Pelodiscus sinensis: one gene and its partners. The protein of the gene in region 2 interacts with the protein of the main gene of each other region in a pairwise test. Links are inferred from orthologs where the notes say so. Each region holds a gene or a part of one and is shown on either strand. Other genes may lie near its edges.

Region 1 (3,264 bases), on a different chromosome or scaffold from region 2:
TCTCCAATTTGGAAGAAAGCACAACTAGGAGCAGAGTGCAGGGCACAGGCCCCGGGAGGGAATTCTGCCTATGATAATGAATCTCACTCTTTCCTAACTAAACTGTGCTGCTCCTGGAGGTAGCATGGGCTGGGGGACAGAGGACAGGCTGTGATGTCATGAGGCCTGGGTTCCAGTTCCTGGCCTCCTGTGTGACATTGGGCAAGTCACTTCTCCTCCCCATGCCTGTTTTCCCCTCTGTAAAAGAGGGCAGTGACACGGGCTGTCTTCGGAGAGCTATTTGAGACCTACCACTGAAAAGCCCTAGTGAAGAGTGACTACATCATTGCTCGCTGCTGAAATGCAGCCACCTCTGGGCTAGAACGGGGCTGCTGTGTAACAATCCATACCAGCAGTTCAAGACATCCCCGTGGCGGGGAAGGGGTAAGCAAGACTTGACTCTTACCAGAAAAACCAGGGGTTTCTAAGGCATGTTTGTAACCAGGAGAGAACTGGCTGATGAAAGTCCCAGGTATCCAAAGCCCTCGTCAGAGCCTTTTATTTCAACATACAAGTACAGGGATTTCAGGCCACCAACTTGGAAGGGACAGAACCGGCTGTGCTGGGAGAGAAAGGAGCCTAGCGGTTACACAACTGAATGGTGGCCGGGGGGAGGAGGGGAAGAGCCTGGGGCTTTTGAGCAGGATCCTCCAATGACCTCCCTGTGCCTCTCTCAACCTCTGTGAGGTGGCCCAAGCGCAGATCTGAATGCAGCTGGGGGTGGCTGGAGAGCCCGTCCTGAGCTGGCTGGGTGTACAAGCATGGAGGGGGGGAAGCTGTCCACCCCTCTTGGCACACTTCAGGGGCTGGCCTGGCCGTGCAGTGCCCTTTTCCCTGCCGCTGACCCCCAGGTAGAATGACCAGTGGTGGGTACTTGTTGTTCCAAGAAGCACGACTAGCATTCCAGATCTGAGCTGCCACCTCCCCTGCTCAGCCCCAGTCCAGCACTCGCAGGGAACAGAATTTAAGTTCAGGACAACCATGGCTCCCAATCTGAGGATTCTAGATCGTGTACTCCCTTATGCTGCTTCCGCCCCCTCAGCTGAGGCAGGGGCAGATTCTGGGGCAGTGGTGGCAGCATCAGCAGCTTGCTTCCTGGCCTCCTCCTTCAGCTGTTTCTTCTTCAGCTTGAGTTCCTTGCGCTGTTTCTTGTCCATCTCTTGCAGCAGCTCCTGGAATTTGGTGCTGCGGGGGTCCACCTTGTGACCAAAGCGTTCCTGGACCTCAGCCAGCAGCCGCTCCTTCCGGGCCTTGTCCTCCCGCTCCTTCTCCTTGCGCGCTGCCTTTTCCCGCCGCCACTCCTCGATCATCTGTGGCATCTTGGCCATGTTGGCAGCGATCAGATTCTCTCTGCCAGCGCAAATCGGAAACAAACCGTGAGACACTCACCACGACAGGGCACAAGCGGCAGGCTCTTTGTATCTCTCCTGCCACTGCCGTTCCCAGGACTTGCCTTGGCAATTTGTATGGGTGACAGAGGTCACCTCTCCTGTGGAGTTAGTAAAATAACGTACTCCCCTTTCCTGGGGGGCGGGCCTGGGAACCTTGCTCATAAGAGCAGGGCTGGGGCATTTCCTACAGTAATGTGTTGTGGGGGGTGTCATACTCCAAATGGGGATCAATATTCCAGGACTAAGGTTAGGTTCCAGCACCCCCCCCCCCCCAGGAACTGGGTCAAGTTTTGGGCTTCCAGACACCTCCACGATGAGGTTTCTCCCCAGTGTTTCCTGTAAGCTGTGCAATTGGGCAGCTATGCCATCCAGCTGTTCAGCAGACTGCCCACTGCTAGGTTTTTGCTTCTACTGGTGGTGCACCTGATTCGGTGCACATACAAATATTCCACACATAGGTGGAAAGATTAGCAGGAATATTACCTGACCCCTCCGTGACCAGAGCTCCCCCCGCCTTGGAATGAGTCAAGTGCCAGGGCCCCCCCTCCCACCACTGTTAGGGCCCAGAGCTCGTCCCCGCTCGGTCTGGCCCCCTCCCCACCTCTCCACCCGCAGCCTCTCCTCCTCCCGCTCCTTCTTGTCCAGCGCCGCCTCCATCTCCCTCAGCCCGGGGAACCACTCCCGCTCCTCGGCCTCCATCTCCCGCAGCCGCTCGGGGCTGGGCCACAGGCGGGCCGGGTCCACGCCGGAGACGGAGCCGTGGCGCGCGAACAGCTTGGCCTCATAGGCGGGCTGCAGCTGCCACGGGGGCACGAGGGGGTCGTCGGGGTCTGGCCGGTTCACGCCGCCCCGCTGGCGCCGCGGGGGCGGCCGCGCGTGGTAGGAGCGGGCGGCCGCGGCCCGCAGCAACCCCAGCCACGCCCGCTGCATGGGCGCCGCCATCTTGGCCCGTCACGTGACCCGAGGGGGCGGGTCCTGCGAGAAAGTCGTTCGGGTTGCGTACAGACGTGTCCGCCGCCCCGCTGACCGGAAGTGGGGTGGTGGAGGGCGGAAGTTGGTGGGGGGGGAAGGGAAGAACCACCGGAAGTGGGCCTTGGGGAGCGGAAGAGTGGGTATAGGAGTCCGGAAGTGGACATGGGGAGGCCCTGTGAGGACCGGAAGTGGGGCTTTTGGGCCAGTGAGGACCGGAAGTGGAGCTAAGGTGCCACGTGCCCCAAAATGAGACGTCTCCTCATGATGCCCTGGCTCCTAACCCGGGGCTGAGCTGAGGTGCCAAACCTGGCATCCCTGAGTCAGTGTCACGTGCAAGCGACATGTGGTCAGGCCCCCCCCACGCAAGGTGGCCGCCTCTGAGCAACAAAATCCTGGGACAGGCGGGCAGAGCCTGAGCCCACGTAACCAGCCAGCTGGCAGCAGGTGCTCTGCGCCCTGACGGATTTCCCAGGTCGGCCACCACTACAAAGAGAAACCCTTGGGAAACCTGTACAGGGGCAATGAGACCAAGACTCCCCTGCCCCCCCAGGGGTAACGCTTACATCAGACCAGGGCATGGCCCTCAGAACAGGGTCCGAAAGTAGCATTGGAATGACATGCAAGCACCTAAGCAATGGAATGAGATGGTGTGCTGTCTGTCTGTGGTGCCAAGATGAAAAGCCATCCTCTTGGGGCACAGTGGTGTCAGAAGTGACAGAAACGGCATTGGAGGGACACCTTGCACCTCACAACCTGGGGGCATTTGTGCTGCAACACAGCATGGAAATGAAATAGCTCTGACATTACGGCCTCATGCCACGCCCAGATGAAATATCAGCTTGCTGGTGTCTAGTTCAAGGGT
Region 2 (3,745 bases):
ACTGGAACCGGTCAGTATCACCCAGTATGGGTAATGCTTACTGGTTAAGCTTTCACATTCCTAACCAGGGATGTGAAATTACACTGAATCAACTAGTCAATGGAATTTCCACCAACTAGCCGATAAGCGGGGGAAACTGCAGAACTGCAGCTAGCTTAGCTCCCAGCCCCAGGAGCAGAAGGGCAATGCGGGGAAGGGACCAGGTGAGAGCCAGGAGAGCGGATTCCCAGCTCACAACTGGTTCCTCTTGCTGCACTTCAGCCTTTTAAGAGCCTGCATGTAAGGCTATGCTTATCGGCTAGTCGCCTACATAGCTATCCCTAACTCCAACCCTCTGCCCAGTGAAAATGAGCAAGGGACAGGTAAAAACTGTTAAACACTAGCCATGTAACGCAGGGGTTCTCAAACTTTGTGCTACTGCGACCCCCCCCCCCCCCCCCAAGTTGCTTGCGACCCCCCGGGGGGTCAGGACCCACAGTTTGAGAATCGCGGGTGTAACCAATTACAATTTCATCAGTTACAGGGGCTCAGCCAGCCCTGCAGGAGTTTAACCATTAACTGGAAGCGATAAGCATCAGCTCATGCCTCAACCTCTCACATTCCTAGTGGGAGATGGAGTGAGTGGGGTGCCAGGCCTGGGAGAAGAGGCCATGCTGGGGCAGAGCCTCAAGGAAAAGGCAGAGCAGGGGTGTTTGGTTTTGTACTACAAGTGGAGCCTTTCTAGTCTGGCACCCTTGGGACTTGACTGGTGCAGAATCAGAGAATTTGCCCAATCATGGGAGGTCAATATTGTCTAGCAGGATTACCAACACTCCCACCGCTTCCTGGGCTCAGGGTCAATTAGAGCTAATCAACAACAGCACAGAACACTAAGAGCCAGACCTGGTGGCTGTAAACAAACTTTATAGGACTGTAGGAAACTCATCCACTTACCAAGGGTGTGGCCATCTGGTTCACTAGAATCCTAGAACTGGAAGGGACCTGGAGAGGTCATGGACTCCAGTCCTCTGCCCTCATGGAAGGATCAAGCACTAAAATCATGCCAGACCGCACATGCTGCCGGACCAGAGAGGTTCAACCTTTCTGGCAGCAGGTAGCGAAGGCCAATGAAGGCTAAGCATTCCCTAACCGAGGCCATGGGCCTACTCATGCTCTGTCCTGAGGCCCCTTCCTCACTGCCCCTAAAGCCAATGGGGGCTCAGCTCCAGCTGGCCAGCGGTTGAATCACAGGGCAGGGATGCTCTGGCCAGTGCTCAGGCCAAAAGTGGGGGGTGCCCGGGGCTCCTCCAGCTGAAGGAGGGCACTCAGAGCTTGGGGGGGAGGGGGGCACGTCCTCAGAAAGTTTGTTTCTGGGTAAGAGAGAAACGGCTCCCTGCTCCCCCCAATGACTGCAAACCCATCGCCCCTGGACACTGGACAGTGACTAATAACAAAAGCAAAACGACAGCATCGTTTCCTGGCCTGGCGACGAGACCCACGCAGCATCTATACTGGCCTCGGAAAGAAAGGCGATGCCCATCATCCCAAGCTGCTCTTAGGCCTTGTGAGGTGGGCCCCAGGCAGCGCGAGCCACACGGAGCTTTACAAGCACCAGCCATAAAGTTTCTCCAAGAAAAGACACCGCAGCAGCTTTCCCCCCACCCACTGCAGGTACCAGGGAGCAGCATCAGCTCCTAACCAGAGCGAGTCCGTGACACAAGGAAGGGTGCTCAGCAGCTGGGCCAAGCTTTTCAATCCAACCCCTAGGCAGATGCTAGGCAATGGGGACAGAGCAGAGCCCGGCTGGCCGGCTCAGTTTCCCTCGACCTCCATCGCCATCAGCTCTGGAGCAAGAGGCTGCCCGAAGGAAACCAGGAGCCAGCATCACAAGGGAGCTTAGCCTCCACGGCAGCACCCAGCCAGGGCCACTGACGCCAGGCGAGGGGCTGGGGAGAGCCTGTATCCCAGCCAGGCTGATGCAAGACAAGATGGATGTGCGAGAGGGGCCGGGTTCCGGCTGCCACTTTCAGTTTCCTCATTCTAGGGCTTGTCAATCTGGCTCTAGCGCTGCCACCGGCCTCGCTCCTCAGGGCCCCAGCAGCGTGAGAGAGATGCCAGAGCCCGGCAGGCAGCACCCATGGGACCCGCTGCCCCAACTCTAGGCTCCTAGCAGCCTTGTCCAGCACCCATGGGTGCAGATGCCCCACAGCCCAGCCCTGCCCTGCCCTGCACCCATGGGACCTGCTGCCCCCCCCCCCGTGGCACGACACTGCCCCCACTGGAGCAGCACCCATGGGCAGGCACCCCTGGGTGCAGCTGTCCCCCCCAGCCCAGCACCCATGGGCTCAAATGTCCCCTCCCTCCCAGCCCCAGCCCCCGCCCCCAGGGAGCAGCTTGCTCCCCAGCACCCACGGGTGCGGCACCTTCACGCACTCATGCCACAGGCGCCCCCCGCTTTGCCTGCAGCCCCAGGGCCCCTGCTCACCCGCGGGGACGGGGCTCCCAGGCTCCGGCTGCCTGGGGCGCTCGGCCTCCTGCTCCCACCGCGGCAGTCCAGAAACCTGCTGCCCCCTCGGCCTCGGCCCCGCCCCCATTGCATACGTCACGGAGCCGCTGGCCAATGGCGCGCCGCCTTTGCTCATTATTCACGGGGGGCGTAACCTCTCGGCCAATCGGCACCTCCCGTCTCTGACTTGATTAATTATTTAGGATTGGCGGGGGGGGGAGGGTGCCCCTAGTTGGCTGTTCCGGCGCGAAGCTTCCCCTCCCACCGCAGGGCCGAGCCGAGGGACACGGGAGCCCGGAAGCCTCGCGGGGGGAGCGGCAAGTGCCGGGAATGTCCATGCGGGAAACTCAGCTGAGTTCCGGGCAGCGCCTGACGTCAGCACGGCGGGGCTGCCGCTGGCCCCGCCTCTTAAAGGGCGAATGGCCGCTATGGGGGGGGGGGGGTAATCTGGGGACAGGCTGTTTACGGGGTATGGGGGGGCGGCACTGGGGGAGAGGTACTTGGGGGGCTGAGCCTGGGGGGCACATGGGGAGGGGTACTTGGGGGGGTTGAACCTGGGGGGCACATGGGGAGGGGTACTTGGGGGGCTGAGCCTGGGGGGCACATGGGGAGGGGTACTTGGGGGGCTGAGCCTGGGGGGCACATGGGGAGGGGTACTTGGGGGGGTTGAACCTGGGGGGGCACATGGGGAGAGGTACTTGGGGGGCTGAGCCTGGGGGGCACATGGGGAGGGGTACTTGGGGGGCTGAGCCTGGGGGGCACATGGGGAGGGGTACTTGGGGGGCTGAGCCTGGGGGGGGCACATGGGGAGGGGTACTTGGGGGGCTGAGCCTGGGGGGGGCACATGGGGAGGGGTACTTGGGGGGCTGAGCCTGGGGGGCACATGGGGAGGGATACTTGGGGGGCTGAGCCTGGGGGGGGCACATGGGGAGGGGTACTTGGGGGGCTGAGCCTGGGGGGCACATGGGGAGAGGTACTTGGGGGGGCTGAGCCTGGGGGGCACATGGGGAGAGGTACTTGGGGGGGCTGAGCCTGGGGGGGGCACATGGGGAGGGGTACTTGGGGGGCTGAGCCTGGGGGGCACATGGGGAGGGGTACTTGGGGGGCTGAGCCTGGGGGGGGCACATGGGGAGGGGTACTTGGGGGGCTGAATCTGGGGGGCACATGGGGAGGGGTACTTGGGGGGCTGAATCTGGGGGGGCACATGGGGAGGGGTACTTGGGGGGCTGAGCCTGGGGGGCACATGGGGAGGGGTACTTG
Region 3 (3,745 bases), on a different chromosome or scaffold from region 2:
TCTAATGTGCAATAGGAGCTCCTTCACTGAATTTTTCACACGTACCCCTTGGAAAGGTCCTCTGTGCTGCTTTCCTCCCCCCATGTGGTGTTCGGCTGTTGAGACACAAAGCAAACAAAATTAATGCACTAGCACAATCTGATGCAAGGAAGCAAATGGAAAATAAGCCGAAACTGTTTTCAACTGAAAATGTAGAGCGTCTTTTGATTTCTGAAATGCTTTAGTGGCTGACAATGTATTCTGAAGAATATAAACAGTTTGAATTTTATTTATCTGGAGTCTTCCACACACCCCACTTATATTATTTCCAGCTTGTTAACCAGTAAAACACATCGTAATCAAGGAACAAAAAGACAGCTCCTTGCCCCAATCCATTACATATTAAAAATATATTCAATGTCAAAATGCTGTAGGACTGTCTCTAACAATTTTGAGAATTACTTGTGTTTGTTATCTCCATACTGGCTGAAACTACTGCTTTAAAAAGGAAAAAAGACTTGCTTTGTTAGAAGTACAATACAACTGTGACAGTCCCTGCCTAACCTCTTCAGTCTCATATCCTCTTTAAAATTAAATCAGTTTTGAAGCTACAAAAACAGAAGTGGGAAAGGAAATGATGACCTAAGGCATCCAGACTTGCAAAAGGAAGTTATGTGACCTGATAAGGAAACTACGTAGTCAGTCTAACATAAAAATCTATATACTGAAGTCTAAAGGGCGATCAAATTTCTCTGGCTAGCAGAAGAGGAAATAAAGGGCTCAGGACTACTGAGGTCCAGTATGAGTCTGTGGGCTTCAAAGCACTTCATCCCAGCACAGTCCAGCAGCCCCAGCTTTCCTTCCCCAGAGGACTAGCCAGAAACACAGCCTTTGAGTGGAGATATGAAGTGGAAACAGGCTTACAGGTCAACCCTAACTACAAATAACATTTTTACTTTTTAAAAAAGGTATTACCAACAAGACAAGATATTTATGGTCATGCATATATGATTAAAATGTTTTCAACAGAAATTACATGGAAACTAAATTGAACCACATACAAATCAAATCAGAGGGGAAAGTCTATTGTTTATTGCATGGTGGGAAGGGGGGAGGGAAAAGAGAGAAATAGCAGATAATTATAGAGTACTACCTTACAATGGTGGAGCAAAGATATTCAAAGGACTTATATTTAAATAAGCCACTGTACATAAAAGGCTGTTGGCAGATTGTGCTGACATCCTAATACATACAGATGATACATACACAAATCTCCTAGGGCTAGCTTTTGATACCCTTACTCCGCTCTGAAATCAATGGGATTATTTGTTAAGTAAGGTGCTGCTTGCCATGGATAAAGGGTATTAGAATGCAGCCCTAAGACCTCATCCCCTATTAAGCAAAGGCTTCTGAGGATGCTCTGCTGAGCTCACAGGATTTTTTTCCCTATAAAAGATGCACTAGACTAGAAAATGAATCATCCAATGCAAAATATAGTTCTTTCCCCCCCATTGGAAAGTGAATTTCAAAATATGACAGTCTTTCTAAATAAACTTTCTTCCTAGCCTATATTTAATTCTCAAAACAGTTATTAATTCCCAGGCATTCTTTTTCAAACTATCCCTTGTGGTAACCAGCTTGCTTTATGCAGTGACGGTGCCAGCACCTCTCTCCCCTCCTCACTTCAAAATTTTTTCAAAAATAAGGACTAGCAGAAGGAAAAAAAGGGACCACCACCATCACAAGACACTATTTACACATGGTCTCACACAAATCATAACTATTTGAATCTTTTGAGATCTAGAGTCTAGGTTTTAAGTGAGCATAAGCTACTTTCATCAGACGACAAATCCAGCTGCAGAATAGGCCTGGGAGGTAAGCAAGGGTGAGCAGAGCATTTGACCATTGAGCAAAATCCATAGATGCTGGAACTAGGAGCGCTGCAACCCCGGCCTGGATGGAAGCCGTTTCCATCATACATCCTTCCACCAATACCCATTACAAAGACAGCTTCCCCAATTATCACCCTTAATATCATTATCTCTTAGACACTAACCTCCTTCCCCCCTCGCCCTCCCTTGGTTCTAAAATCTGATTTGTCAATTTTATACGTGTTCACTTTTTTGATTGTATCCTTTAGTATATGTAGTCTTGCCAATTTCCTTCCACTATTTGATCTGAGGAAGTGGGTCTGGCCCACGAAAGCTCATCATCTAATAAACCATCTTGTTGGTCTTTAAAGTGCTACATAGTCCTGTCTAGGGTTTCCAGTGGGGTTGAAGAGCGCTCAGCTCCCTTCCCCTCTAGAACAATTACTCCGGCATCTTCTCCCTGGGAAGGGCGCGCTGCAGCCACCCACGTCCCGTGCAATGCGGAGAGCAGCGAGCACACAGGGCAGCCCAGCGCCGCTCCGCTGCCTCGGCTAATGTGGACGTGCCTCCCCGTAGGGCCCCTGCCAGGGCCCCGCGTTACGGCCGGCGCTAACTATCCAAGCGGGCAGGCTCCGCGCCTCCCAGAGCCGGTAGGGGGAGAGCCGCGGCCGGGGAGGGCTGCAGCAGGCAGCGCCCGGGGGAGGGGGGGACGCGCGTACCTTGCGGGGCATGGCGCGGGCTGTCCAGGGAGTCCCTCCTCCAGCCGTCGCCCCCGCAGCTGCTGACGGACAGCTCCGAGTCGGAGCCGGGCGAGCCCGGGGCGGAGGGAGCGGGCGAGCAGCTGCTTTCGCTGCTGGAGTAGGGGGAGGCGCCATAGAAAAAAGCCAGGTTGAGGGGGCTGCTCATGGAGCTGGAGTCGCCGTCGGCCGGCGCCTCCCAGCTGCTGCTGCTGCTGCTGCTGTCCACGATCATGCTCCTGGCGACGGGAGCGGAGAGACGGCGGGGAAGGCAGCAAACCGCCAGCAGGAGGGGGGCGAGTGTGGGGAGGCGGCGGGGCAGGCGGCGGCTCTTATAGCAGCTCCGCCCCGGCGGGGAGCGGGTCCGGGGGAAGCGGCAGGCGCGCAGGCCATTGGCCCGGGCGGGGTGATGCTGCCGGGCTGGGGGCTGGCCTTCCCGTAAAGTCCCGGGCTTGGGCAACACCCCGCGGGCGCCAGGCGGTGGCTGGGAGAGCGCGGCCTCGCTGGTTTCGGAGCGCGCGGTGAATCATTAGCCCGAGGCTGCACAACCCACCCCCACCAAGCCAACAACAAGGCTTTGTCCCGTCTGGCGCGTCTCCCGCTGGGCGGAGGCACCCTGGGCTACGAGGCTCCCCCACCATGCTCCACCCGACCCCACGCACCAGCCTGGGCTCAGGGGCAGGCGCTGAATGCCCTACGTTGTACATACAGAAGTAAAGAAGGGGTGAGAGTTGGCCTCCCTTGCTAGTATTCCCTGTAGGCTCAGTGCGTGGGCAGCCACCCAGGAAAGGTGCTGCTCAGCTGACAGGGCACCCACAGGATGTGTCTCTACTAGAAGTGCAGATCTGCCCATGCGTCAATGCATAACGAAATGTATTCCACATGCACGGATGGGAAAAAATTAGAGGGAACACTGCTGATTGGAATTTGGCTATGGACTTCGATGGGGCCAGAATTTCGCCCAGGGTTTCTACCCCAAGCAGCTTGCCAAAGGAGCAACAGCCTTAAATCCCACCCTTTTCTAGCAACAGCAGGAGAGAGGGGCAATGGGAAAAGGGTGGGAATTAGGGTTGTTGTTACTTTGGCAAGCATCTTTGGGTAGAAATGCTGGATCCATTAATGGCCATGGTCAAACTCCCCTGGGCTTCAATCAGTCAG

Evidence for each region.
Region 1: the proteins of STAT3 (region 2) and GADD45GIP1 interact in binary tests that used the Homo sapiens proteins (3 or more experiments, as listed by UniProt). The link is inferred for Pelodiscus sinensis from reciprocal best matches to the Homo sapiens genes STAT3 and GADD45GIP1.
Region 3: the proteins of STAT3 (region 2) and NFKBIZ interact in a two-hybrid assay, tested with the Homo sapiens proteins (2 studies listed by BioGRID and IntAct). The link is inferred for Pelodiscus sinensis from reciprocal best matches to the Homo sapiens genes STAT3 and NFKBIZ.

Annotation. Positions count from the first base shown.
Region 1 is NC_134729.1:12,996,419-12,999,682, reverse strand, and holds GADD45GIP1 (large ribosomal subunit protein mL64), read right to left. Parts: upstream 2,424-3,264; 5' UTR 2,373-2,423; coding exon 2,032-2,372; intron 1,390-2,031; coding exon 1,059-1,389; 3' UTR 523-1,058; downstream 1-522. UniProt on the Homo sapiens protein: Acts as a negative regulator of G1 to S cell cycle phase progression by inhibiting cyclin-dependent kinases. Inhibitory effects are additive with GADD45 proteins but also occur in the absence of GADD45 proteins.
Region 2 is NC_134739.1:9,064,627-9,068,371, reverse strand, and holds the start of STAT3 (signal transducer and activator of transcription 3), read right to left. Parts: upstream 2,617-3,745; 5' UTR 2,465-2,616; intron 1-2,464. UniProt on the Homo sapiens protein: Signal transducer and transcription activator that mediates cellular responses to interleukins, KITLG/SCF, LEP and other growth factors. Once activated, recruits coactivators, such as NCOA1 or MED1, to the promoter region of the target gene.
Region 3 is NC_134711.1:151,892,568-151,896,312, reverse strand, and holds the start of NFKBIZ (NF-kappa-B inhibitor zeta), read right to left. Parts: upstream 2,918-3,745; 5' UTR 2,823-2,917; coding exon 2,570-2,822; intron 96-2,569; coding exon 1-95. UniProt on the Homo sapiens protein: Involved in regulation of NF-kappa-B transcription factor complexes. Inhibits NF-kappa-B activity without affecting its nuclear translocation upon stimulation.